3 linked regions of the Saccharomyces cerevisiae S288C genome follow. Changing the gene in region 3 together with the main gene of any one other region gives a genetic interaction. Each region holds a gene or a part of one and is shown on either strand. Other genes may lie near its edges.

Region 1 (3,248 bases), on a different chromosome or scaffold from region 3:
ATTATATTTAGTAATGAACTTTTCGATAGACATTTGTAATTCATGAAAAAACGATATAACATTCATTTTTGTAGTGTGGTGTACGCATGGTGGGACTGCTCTTCTTGAGCGAAATTTTGATCTTCAATAGAGTGAGCAACGACAACTCAAGGATAAAGACAGAACAGCGGTAAACATCGTTTGCAAAATAACTAGAGAGCCGGATCGATTTACTTTGCAAAGTTGCGTCCTTTTTCCACGACAGAATATGTCTGCATTATTTAATTTTCGTTCTCTTCTGCAAGTGATATTGTTACTGATTTGTTCATGTTCTTATGTTCATGGGCAGTGGCCGTCTCTCCTAGATCGTTACAAAAATCATGAGGTTTTGGGGGCCTTCTGGAAAATGGCACGTGTTGGTGAAAGGGCCAGTCCATATGTTAGTTTAGCATGTATTTTGATGGCCATCAGTCAATTTAACAGCTGATTGGAAGATACTTAGTCATATGGATTTAAAGTTACGCAAATCAAGGTCATAGAAGGTGCAGTACCTTTTAAAACAAAGAGTATAAGTGGATTCAGACGAAGTGTCTCTTTAATTCTATCGTCTGATAGCGTACAAGTAAGGGTGCTATGAGCTAGCACGCACAGCAAAAATATAAACACTTTTGTATTTTTTTTTATTTTATAGTGTTTTGTGTTGAGTATTCATCTATTCGACCTCTATAGAGATTTAAGAAGGGAATTCATTGTCACAATAAGGACGCATAGTTGTTCATTTTAGACATCATTTACAGCACTTCCGTAAACTACCCCATATTGCGATTGAATACTACCGAAAAGGCTCAAGAATTTACGTGGTGCCCAATCAATTATATAGAATGAGGAACAATGGTAAGTAATGAATAATCATGGTCAGTAATAAAAAAGCAATCTCGTCCATGTTTCTTTTTGAAACTCAGAGCTTGACTCTGTTGCATTGGTATTTCATCATTTGATGAATTATTCACTATTCCATCTTCTTCTTACACAAGTTTACCAATAAATAACTCATCTGAGTTATTCAGACTTTTTATTAGATCAGTTCGGCATATTTAACTATGCAAAAGTTTTACACTGCTAAAAAGTAGTGTAAACAACAAACTGTTAAAAAAATAAAAAGGGGTGAATCCATGGACCAAGAATAGTAAGCTCCATTGGGTTACTCGATCCAGCACGGGAAAGAGCAATCGTCATAACTATGGTTTAGATTCCATACAAACGGAATCCAGTACCGAAGAAAACACCAGTACCCTGCAATAGAGGTACCAGGTCAAGAAGCAGAATACCCAAGGGCATCCTCCTTAATGAGTTGATTTAAACAATTTAAAATTTTTAAATCTCATTACGTTTTCCGCATACGAATTGGTGGGAGACTTTCAACCCAAAGCATATTACTGAGTAAAAAAAATTTTACTCCATTTTGTAAGCTTCGATTTGTGACGATTCTTTGGTCATGGATTGAAGAACTTTAAACGAGAAGAAATTAGAAAACAGGTGAAGACCACTATTTAGTTCTTTACCGCAACATAGGATAAACAAAGTTATTTTCTTACTCCTTTATATATTTGAAAAAATATAAAATCCACGGAAAAACATCGAAAATTCATTTTTCATGAAGGAAAATTAGGGTTCATACAGGAGTAGAGTTCATTGATGTGGTAGCAACCTTGTTAGCACTCATATTGTTCGAACAAAAAATGCCCTCTCAAACTTTAGTTGAAGAGCGATAAGGCATCTGAATCTCAAAAGTTAGACATGTCGGGGAGCTTCTGGACATCTACACAAAGGCATCATTGGCAATATACCAAGGCATCATTGGCTAAAGAGAGGCAGAAGTTATGGCTATTGGAGTGCCAGCTGTTTCCTCAAGGTTTGAATATTGTAATGGATTCGAAGCAAAACGGCATCGAACAATCCATCACAAAGAATATACCAATAACTCACCGAGACTTACACTATGATAAAGATTATAATCTAAGGATCTACTGCTATTTCCTGATAATGAAGCTTGGAAGGAGACTAAATATAAGACAGTATGCACTGGCTACAGCACATATTTATCTATCAAGGTTTTTAATAAAGGCTTCAGTTAGAGAAATAAACCTATATATGCTGGTTACTACGTGTGTATATTTAGCATGCAAAGTTGAAGAATGCCCGCAATATATCAGAACTTTGGTAAGTGAAGCCCGTACCTTATGGCCCGAATTTATTCCTCCTGACCCTACTAAAGTTACTGAGTTTGAGTTCTACTTACTAGAAGAATTGGAAAGTTACTTAATTGTCCACCACCCTTATCAATCCTTAAAGCAAATTGTTCAAGTCTTAAAGCAACCGCCATTTCAAATAACACTATCGTCAGATGATCTACAAAACTGTTGGTCCTTAATCAACGACAGTTATATAAATGATGTTCATTTGCTTTACCCTCCTCATATTATCGCTGTTGCATGTTTATTCATTACGATTTCCATTCATGGGAAACCAACCAAAGGATCATCGTTAGCATCTGCGGCTTCTGAAGCCATCAGAGATCCTAAAAATTCTAGTTCTCCTGTTCAAATAGCTTTTAATCGTTTTATGGCAGAATCTCTTGTAGATCTTGAGGAGGTTATGGATACGATTCAAGAGCAAATTACATTATACGATCATTGGGACAAGTACCACGAACAATGGATAAAGTTTCTGCTACATACTTTGTATCTTAGACCAGCATCTGCAATTTAATCATGCGAAGAATAAATTTAAAAACCGTTAAGCCTGTAAATTCAATCATTATGGTGGTGATGATCCGTTTTGGAAATGTTTCGTCCTTGACTACCTTTGTTTAACATGATATTGGAACGTCAAGACATATTGAGAATAGGTACCGTTATAATGCATAATTAAAAATTGCTTTGATATTGAGGTGGAAAGCTGGGTCGGACCTTGACATGTATTAAATTTAAAGAATCGAACCTAGTGTTTTTTTCTCCAGTGTTCAAAAAATCCTTTCAATTTGGTCTACTGCAGTAGCCCACTTATAACACACATTCAAGATGGGTGAACCGTGGCTCAAACTTCCCCATTTTTCAGAGTATGTGCAACCACAAAACCTTTGTCAGAAATTCTTATGGCAGGCCAAATTGATAAACTAACAGAAATATTAAACGCCCCCCAAGTTAAAATACTAGAACATGTTGGCTTATTTCAAAAACATTTTCTTCCTTTTCTAAAGTGTTTGATAA
Region 2 (4,108 bases), on a different chromosome or scaffold from region 3:
TGAAGATGGCTCTAAGAAATCAACTGGTAATCGTAAATCTTCCATGAGAGAGGCCCAGCCAGATTTAAAAGAAATACTGAAGAATGGAAAAGAATTTGAATTAGACATACCAGAAACTGTTGATACACAAGGGAATGTAAGAAAAACCTCAGTCAGATTCGATTCAAACGTTTCGGTCGCAGTGGATGAAAGATAAGAGATAAACGCATACTAAATTACTGTGTCTGTTATTGTTTTTGGCTATATATATATATATATATATATATATATAGTAAATATAAGAAAAACAAAGAAAAAAGAAATGAGAGTGAATTTGAGAGCGGCAGAAAGAAATAAAATTCAAACATTTTGATGTAGATAACTGGAAATAACTGAAGGGGATAAAATATTGAACGAAAAGAAAATGATAATCCTCCAAGATCACATAATAAATATAAAGAAACTCCTCAGGAATACAGAATGTCCTCTGCTAACTTAGACGCAAGGCTATTTGTAAAATTTTATGATAGCTGGTTTTCTTGAAGTGTAGATTGTGGTAATTGCGGAGTGGAACCCATTGAGGAATGTGGTACAGTGTTGATTTCATGTTCCAAATTCGGTATGGCTACGTCTGACCTAGCATTAGCAATGGCGTTGTGATGCTGCTGCTGCTGCTGAGCATGGAAAATTTGATGCTGCTGTTCTTGTTGACCTTGTTGAACATGCTGTGCAGAAGATATAGAGGCACCTGGGGTAACAGGGGTAGTAGTTGACGGATTATCTTGTGGTAACATGGCTAACGACTGTTCATTAATCGTATTAGGATTCGAATTAGCAGTATTGGTGTTGGAATGAGTTTGTGGCGAAGAGTTGCGAGGTGGTAATTGCTGTTCGCATAAAGGAATACGGTCCTTTAGATAACGTATTAAAATTGAGTGTAAATCATCCCTCGTGAATGGTTTGGCCAAGATATCATTCATTCCATGTTGTAAGTATGTGATCAAGTCTTGATTCATAATGTTACCTGTCATGGCAATGATGGGAGTCTCATTATCAAAACTTCTGACAATGGATGTCGCTGTGGCACCATCTAGGTTTGGCATAACAATGTCCATTAAAACCAAATCATACCTATACTTCTCTAGTGTTGAGATAGCTGAAAGACCGTCGCTGACAACTTGGACAGTACAGCCATATTTCCGTAAAAATTTTGAACACAACTGTATAGACACTGCGTCATCTTCCACCAACAGTACATGGAAACCTTTTCGTAGCGTGACTGTGTTATTTTGAGCATTTGGTGTTAGGCTATTCTGATCGGGTAAATTAGGTAGTTGTAAGGAAACTGTAGATGTTGCCGGAGAAGCATTGTTGGTGTTGTTGTTGCTTTGGATAGCTGTTGTTGTTGCTGGGTTGGTATTACCAGTTGGGTTACGGTTTCCATTGTCGCCAAATATTGGCACTTCAATACCATTATTTGCCAAAGTGGAACACAGAGTGTTGAAGTTGTTGAGTAAATTTTCATTTATGGTCTTGAATGTTATCAAACTTTCGATAACCGTATTGTATTTCGAGTTCAACTTTTGTAGTTCTACTTTAGTAGCATAACTCTCCATTTTGGACATATCCAACTCCTTTTGTAGTTTGTCTACTCGCCTTCTTAGATTTCCAAATGCATCTTTACTTACGGTATTGCTTAACAACAGCTCTGTGGTGGATTCATTCAAAAGAGACCCAGAAGGATTGTTGGGGTTAGTGCCTTCACTATTGAAATGCAAAAGAGCCTTTTGAGATTCATCCAAAAGCACTTTCCTTTGCGCCGGAATTTTCCTTTTGATGTTATCGAGACCTTTTCCGTAATGGACTCTAAATTCTGGATGCTGAAACTCCCAACTTTGTTCGCCATATTTACATCTCTGTCTTTCCTCGGGACTTCTCTTAACCTTGTGAAAGTCATACTTGTTTAGTTGCCTTACAAAAGATGCAAAATTTGAATGTTTGAAGTGATTAGGCAATATATGCGTAGTGAACTTTCCTGTGTCCAAAACGACGAAACTTTTGCCGTTCTCAGTCCAAGTTACAATGTCAGGATATTCATTGTTTTCCAGTATCCTGAACAGTTTTCTTACGAACTCATTTGCTGGAGCCTTTGCTCCCGCATTAGCACTGCTGATATTTGTGTTTCCAGCTGGTTGTTGAACGTTATTAGTCTTGTTGTTAATGTGCAGCATGTCAGAAGAGTTGTTTGGCTGCATCGTGTTCATCAGTCGAGGCCCGCTCTGCAACAAGTCCATTCCTAAAAGGTCTGCAGTCGAACTGTTCTCGGTGGTGTTATTATTGCTATCGCCGGTGGTTTTATTGACGTTGCTATTTATGGTGGAAAAGCTCATAGTGGATATCAAAAGTAAGCAACGAAAAAATAGGAATAAGAATAATGGAAACAAAGAGAGGATAAAAAAACTTCTATAACAGTCCTTTAATAATACAGCAATTTCGTTGCTTTTTTGTTGGTCTTGGAAAAAACAGAATGTCCTCTAATGAGCGAGTTAAATATATGACCCAAACAAAAGCAGCAAGCCTAGGTAAGATGTTGGAAGATAGTAAGGTGACCAGGGATATCTGTGTAATGTTAGTAAAACTTTGACAAATGTTTCAGATCCTGGAAGCACTTTCAATCTTGTCACATTCGATGGGATGACAGTTAAGCTCAGTAAAGCTGACCACATTTTGCTCATAGTTAAAGAAAGAAAAAATTCAGAATTTCGGAAAATCCATGTACGCGCATCGATGAGCCCTGCCCTCACTTATGGCATCCCTATTATAGCAAAACCCTGCTTATACTTGTGTTAGCCCTACTTTTAATCGACTTTAAACCTATGCATTTAAGAAAAACTTTTTTTTTTTTTTTTTCGGATGATATAACCGACCTATAATTTCCGAACCGACTTTGGGAAATCACAGCGAAGCGTTTACTTAAGCCCTGATTATATATAGATGAGGGGTAAATATGTCAAAGTACAATGGAATGGTGAGGTATAAGCAGTGATTATGAGACGTGATAAACTAGAAATTTGCAGGAACAATTATTCATTTTTTGGAGTTTAAATAAAACGAAAATACATACATACTTTACATATATAAATAGAAGAAATGTTTCGATAAAGTGGGAAAAACGATTAGAAGATACAAATTAATAATAGAAGTAGAAATAAAAGATAGAAAAATTAGAAAAAAATAAAAAGAAAAGGAAAAGAAGAGGAAGGGCAAGAGGAGCGATTGAGAAATCATATTTCGAATCTTCCACTGACAAATTCGTCATCCATGTGTTGGTCGCCGTCGAAGTCCATCTGCGAATGGCTGTTGTTCATATTTTTCTCTTGGTTGAATCCATCATTGATGTCCTCGTCCCCGTCATCATCGATGACATCTTCGTCTGGAGGTAAGTTTGGATTTCCCGGGATAAAGGAACCAGGTTCCATAAAGTACGAGTTTTGTAGGAATTTTCTGTTGTTATTAACGTGTTCATCGATGGCGGACTCATCAACAAAGGTGAAACCAGCAAACTTTGCTTGCATGGCTGGAGATAGCGGGGTAGCAGTCATCATCGGCTGGTGCTTGTTCATGTATGAAGTTGAAGCTGTTGTGAACTCTGGGTCAAAATTCGAGGTATCCGTCTCCGAGACTAGGTGAGGTTTGAAAGGTGGTGGAATTTTTTTCTGCTTCAAGGCCTCCCAGTCGATATCTGCGAAAAATGGATGAGCTCGTAGTTCTCTTCCATCATCAATGGCACCGAGTCTATGTTTGGGGTTTCTGTTTAGTAAACCCTTTACAAAAGACCTCCCCTCTTGTGACAGTACGTCTCTGGGGAATTTGACTTTACCAAAGGCAATTTTTTGGTACATTTTTTGATTATTTTCCGCAAAGAAAGGGGACCAACCACAACACATTTCAAATATCAAAACACCTAGAGACCAGAAATCGACCATTTTGGTGTAGCCGGTTTCGTCCAGTAACAATTCTGGTGCCAGGTATTCCGTGGTGCCGCAAAATGTGTTTGTTCTATCCTTCAAGTCAGCTTTAGAAAGACCAAAATCGCAAAGAGCGATGTTACCGTTGGCATCGAGTAGAA
Region 3 (4,513 bases):
ACAGAAGTCCCAAGATTTCAACCTTTTGCCGATTGAACAATTACGCCGTGTTGATCAATATACCTTGTATAAGATAAACGAACTGCTGGAAACGACGAGAGAACACTACCAAAAGTACAACTTTTCCAAGGTTCTCATTACTCTACAATATCATTTAAATAACGAGCTATCGGCGTTTTATTTTGATATCTCAAAGGATATTTTATATTCCAACCAAATATCGTCATTGGCAAGAAGGCAGGTCCAAACAACGCTTGTCCATATACTAAATGCATATAGGGCAATTCTTGCACCAATATTACCCGTTATGGTCCAAGAAGTATGGAAGTATATACCAGAAGGATGGTTACAAGGACAAGAACATATAGACATTAATCCGATGCGTGGAAAATGGCCGTTTTTGGACTCAAATACGGAAATCGTCACCTCCTTTGAAAACTTTGAACTAAAAATTCTAAAACAGTTCCAGGAGGAATTCAAGAGGTTAAGTCTAGAAGAAGGTGTCACCAAAACAACACATAGTCACGTTACCATTTTCACCAAGCATCACCTCCCATTCAGTTCTGACGAGCTTTGCGACATATTGCAATCATCTGCTGTTGATATATTGCAAATGGACGATAATAATAACAGTCTACCAACTATTGAATTGGGAAGCGGAATAAACGTTCAAATATTGGTTGAACGAAGCAAAAGGCACAACTGTCCCAGATGTTGGAAGGCCAACTCAGCCGAAGAGGATAAATTGTGTGACAGATGTAAAGAAGCTGTGGATCATCTCATGTCTTGAATGACATGTACCTTTCCTGTATATAAAGAATGCCAATTATTGGCTCTTAGAAAATAAAAACCCTCTTGTACTTATTAGTGGGTACCTAACAGGTCCCCTACTGACATTTTGATGCAGGGCCTCGGCCTATTGTTCTTACCAGCTCTCAGCGCGTTATACGAACAGGAAGCAAAGAAGAGAAATGTAAAAATATTGCTTTTGAGAGACCGTGTAAGGATAAGTGTTACACCCAAGGCACCCTCACCAGGAACATGACTGTCATGAATCTTTTCTTCAGGCCCTGTCAACTGCAGATGGGCTCTGGACCGTTGGAGCTCATGCTTAAAAGGCCAACGCAATTGACCACGTTTATGAACACCAGGCCCGGCGGATCAACCCAAATTAGATTCATATCGGGAAATTTAGATCCAGTGAAAAGAAGGGAGGATAGACTACGTAAAATATTTTCCAAGTCACGACTTTTAACAAGGTTAAACAAGAATCCTAAATTTTCACACTATTTCGACCGCCTCAGTGAGGCCGGCACGGTTCCAACACTTACATCATTCTTCATCTTGCATGAGGTAACTGCCATACTACCACTGTTTCTACTATGGTGGTTACTTTATAACCTCGATCTTTCTGATGATTTTAAGCTCCCAAACTTCTTAAATGGCCTAATGGATAGCTGTCATACAGCTATGGAGAAATTTGTTGGTAAGAGATATCAGGAATGCCTCAACAAAAACAAGTTGATTTTATCTGGCACAGTAGCCTACGTTACAGTAAAATTACTATATCCGGTACGCATTTTCATTAGTATCTGGGGAGCACCATATTTTGGGAAATGGTTGCTTCTTCCCTTTCAAAAATTAAAGCACCTTATTAAGAAATAAAGCTTTTTTTTCCTTTTTTTTTTCTGGCCCAGAGACGGATTATTGTTTTCAGTTGAAGTTGCGCACTCGGCATATGATTTATAGATTCCCAATATATTGTACTTCGTTATATATGTGTTACGAATATTTTTGATTTCGTTTTAGAGAGTTTTGATTAGAGGAAATTATAGCTTTTTTTAACAGTGAAATAAATATCATACATCAAAAGTCTTCAAGAATTACGTGGTGTGGCTTAAGTTGCGTTTCATTTTCCCGCTTCAATACTTGAAAGTTATCCCACAATCACTGCTGACAAAAAGGATACAAGAAAGGTTTATAGGAAAGAAAAAAGGCGGAAGGGTATACTGAAGTTAGTAATTTTGCTTCCCAATTGAATTAAGGCCGCCTAGTTTTGACGGGAGGAGAGAGAAATGTATAATGGCAAGGATAGAGCACAAAACTCCTATCAGCCAATGTACCAAAGGCCTATGCAGGTACAAGGACAACAGCAAGCTCAATCGTTCGTTGGAAAGAAAAACACAATCGGAAGTGTGCATGGAAAAGCCCCGATGCTAATGGCCAATAATGATGTTTTTACTATTGGACCTTATAGGGCAAGAAAAGATAGAATGCGGGTATCTGTCTTAGAAAAGTACGAAGTTATTGGCTACATTGCTGCGGGCACATATGGTAAAGTTTACAAAGCGAAAAGACAAATCAACTCCGGTACCAATTCCGCTAATGGTTCTAGTCTGAATGGTACCAATGCGAAAATTCCGCAGTTTGACAGCACGCAACCAAAATCAAGCTCTTCAATGGACATGCAGGCAAATACAAACGCATTAAGAAGAAACTTGTTAAAGGATGAAGGAGTGACCCCCGGAAGAATACGAACTACGAGGGAAGATGTATCCCCGCACTATAATTCCCAAAAACAAACCCTCATTAAAAAACCGCTGACGGTATTTTATGCCATTAAAAAGTTCAAGACAGAGAAGGATGGCGTCGAACAATTGCATTATACGGGAATATCTCAGAGTGCCTGTAGAGAAATGGCATTATGTCGAGAATTGCACAACAAGCATTTAACCACATTAGTGGAAATTTTTTTGGAAAGGAAATGTGTCCATATGGTATACGAATATGCGGAGCATGATCTGCTACAAATTATCCACTTCCATTCCCATCCCGAAAAAAGGATGATACCACCAAGAATGGTTCGGTCTATTATGTGGCAGCTTTTAGACGGCGTATCGTATCTTCATCAAAATTGGGTGCTTCATCGAGATTTGAAACCCGCAAATATAATGGTGACCATAGATGGATGTGTTAAAATTGGTGATTTAGGTTTGGCCAGAAAATTTCATAATATGCTGCAAACCCTCTATACTGGGGATAAAGTGGTTGTCACTATATGGTACCGTGCACCTGAGTTGCTATTGGGAGCACGGCACTATACCCCTGCGGTTGATTTATGGTCCGTTGGCTGCATTTTTGCAGAACTGATAGGATTACAGCCCATATTTAAAGGTGAAGAAGCTAAACTAGACTCTAAAAAGACTGTTCCATTTCAAGTGAATCAACTACAGAGAATTTTGGAAGTTCTTGGCACTCCCGATCAAAAAATTTGGCCTTATTTGGAGAAGTATCCAGAATATGATCAAATTACGAAGTTTCCAAAGTATAGGGATAACCTTGCTACATGGTATCATTCCGCGGGAGGAAGGGACAAGCATGCTTTAAGCTTACTTTACCACTTGTTAAATTATGATCCAATTAAAAGAATAGATGCATTTAATGCGTTGGAACATAAGTACTTCACAGAAAGTGATATTCCTGTTAGTGAAAATGTATTTGAAGGTCTAACTTACAAATACCCGGCAAGAAGAATTCACACGAACGATAATGACATCATGAATCTTGGATCAAGAACGAAAAACAATACACAAGCTTCAGGAATCACCGCAGGTGCCGCTGCAAATGCGTTAGGTGGGCTTGGTGTTAACCGTAGAATTCTGGCCGCGGCAGCAGCAGCCGCTGCTGCGGTGTCAGGAAACAATGCATCAGATGAGCCATCTCGAAAGAAAAACAGAAGATAGGCTTCTATTTTTATATATATTTGGAATTTTTCATTCCACAGCACTGTCACTATTATATTCATTAAACTTTTTTTTATCTTTATAGTATTTAAATCGGCATACAGTTTCAATTTTTCGCTTTAGAGGCACTAAGAATGCAAGTCTGCAACATTCAGGTAAAATAATGGGTTGATTTTAGGTCGAGCTAAAACCCTGTTCTCCGCAGATGTATGCGAATTTCGTCATAATTCATCTCAACTAATGGGGCTTTAAAACATATGAATATCTCATGCATTCCCAAAAAAGAAGAAAGAAAAGACTTCAAGTACCCCCCTTAATTTTTATATAATGGTAGTAGTAGGTTTGTTCGTAACTTATCGGCAATAGTAATATGTTCCCATTATAACACATCTGTTAATGGTATTCAGGTTAATAACCATAGCAAAAAATATAAACAACTTTGTACATTTTCCATAAAAAAGAATGACTTTACGAAAACATTGGATGAAACAACCAGTTCATCCCGTTCAAAGTCTAAACTACGTATAAAGTAGAGTTATCATCGGTTAACAAAGTACATTGTGTAGTATGTAGAAGGGCTGAAACCATCAAGAAAAGGAGGGACACGCTCATACAAAGGAGAAGTCATGAATTCTAAATGTATCTAATAAGATACGTGAATTCAGCATCACCTAGTTATTAATGACCAGCCGAACCTAAAAGTCATTGCACAAACAATGTAGAAACATAGCTAATTTTACATACTTTTATTTGCGGTCTACTTATAACCA

The links. A genetic interaction does not mean that the proteins touch.
Region 1: mutations in SSN3 (region 3) and SSN8 together harm fitness less than expected from each alone (positive genetic interaction), as found in Saccharomyces cerevisiae (2 studies listed by BioGRID).
Region 2: of SSN3 (region 3) and SKN7, a mutation in one rescues a mutant of the other (synthetic rescue), as found in Saccharomyces cerevisiae (2 studies listed by BioGRID, with this or other methods).

What each region holds. Positions count from the first base shown.
Region 1 is NC_001146.8:583,820-587,067, reverse strand, and holds SSN8 (cyclin-dependent protein serine/threonine kinase regulator SSN8), read left to right. Parts: upstream 1-1,776; coding exon 1,777-2,748; downstream 2,749-3,248. Other genes in the region: KSH1 (Ksh1p), read left to right, coding at 248-466. UniProt on the Saccharomyces cerevisiae protein: Component of the SRB8-11 complex. The SRB8-11 complex is a regulatory module of the Mediator complex which is itself involved in regulation of basal and activated RNA polymerase II-dependent transcription.
Region 2 is NC_001140.6:510,993-515,100, reverse strand, and holds SKN7 (kinase-regulated stress-responsive transcription factor SKN7), read right to left. Parts: upstream 2,370-4,108; coding exon 501-2,369; downstream 1-500. Other genes in the region: SET5 (S-adenosylmethionine-dependent methyltransferase), read left to right, coding at 1-196; serine/threonine protein kinase SCH9, read right to left, coding at 3,264-4,108. UniProt on the Saccharomyces cerevisiae protein: Transcription factor that is part of a SLN1-YPD1-SKN7 two-component regulatory system, which controls gene expression in response to changes in the osmolarity of the extracellular environment.
Region 3 is NC_001148.4:472,270-476,782, reverse strand, and holds SSN3 (cyclin-dependent serine/threonine protein kinase SSN3), read left to right. Parts: upstream 1-2,075; coding exon 2,076-3,743; downstream 3,744-4,513. Other genes in the region: isoleucine--tRNA ligase ISM1, read left to right, coding at 1-790; MRX11 (Mrx11p), read left to right, coding at 1,042-1,665. UniProt on the Saccharomyces cerevisiae protein: Component of the SRB8-11 complex. The SRB8-11 complex is a regulatory module of the Mediator complex which is itself involved in regulation of basal and activated RNA polymerase II-dependent transcription.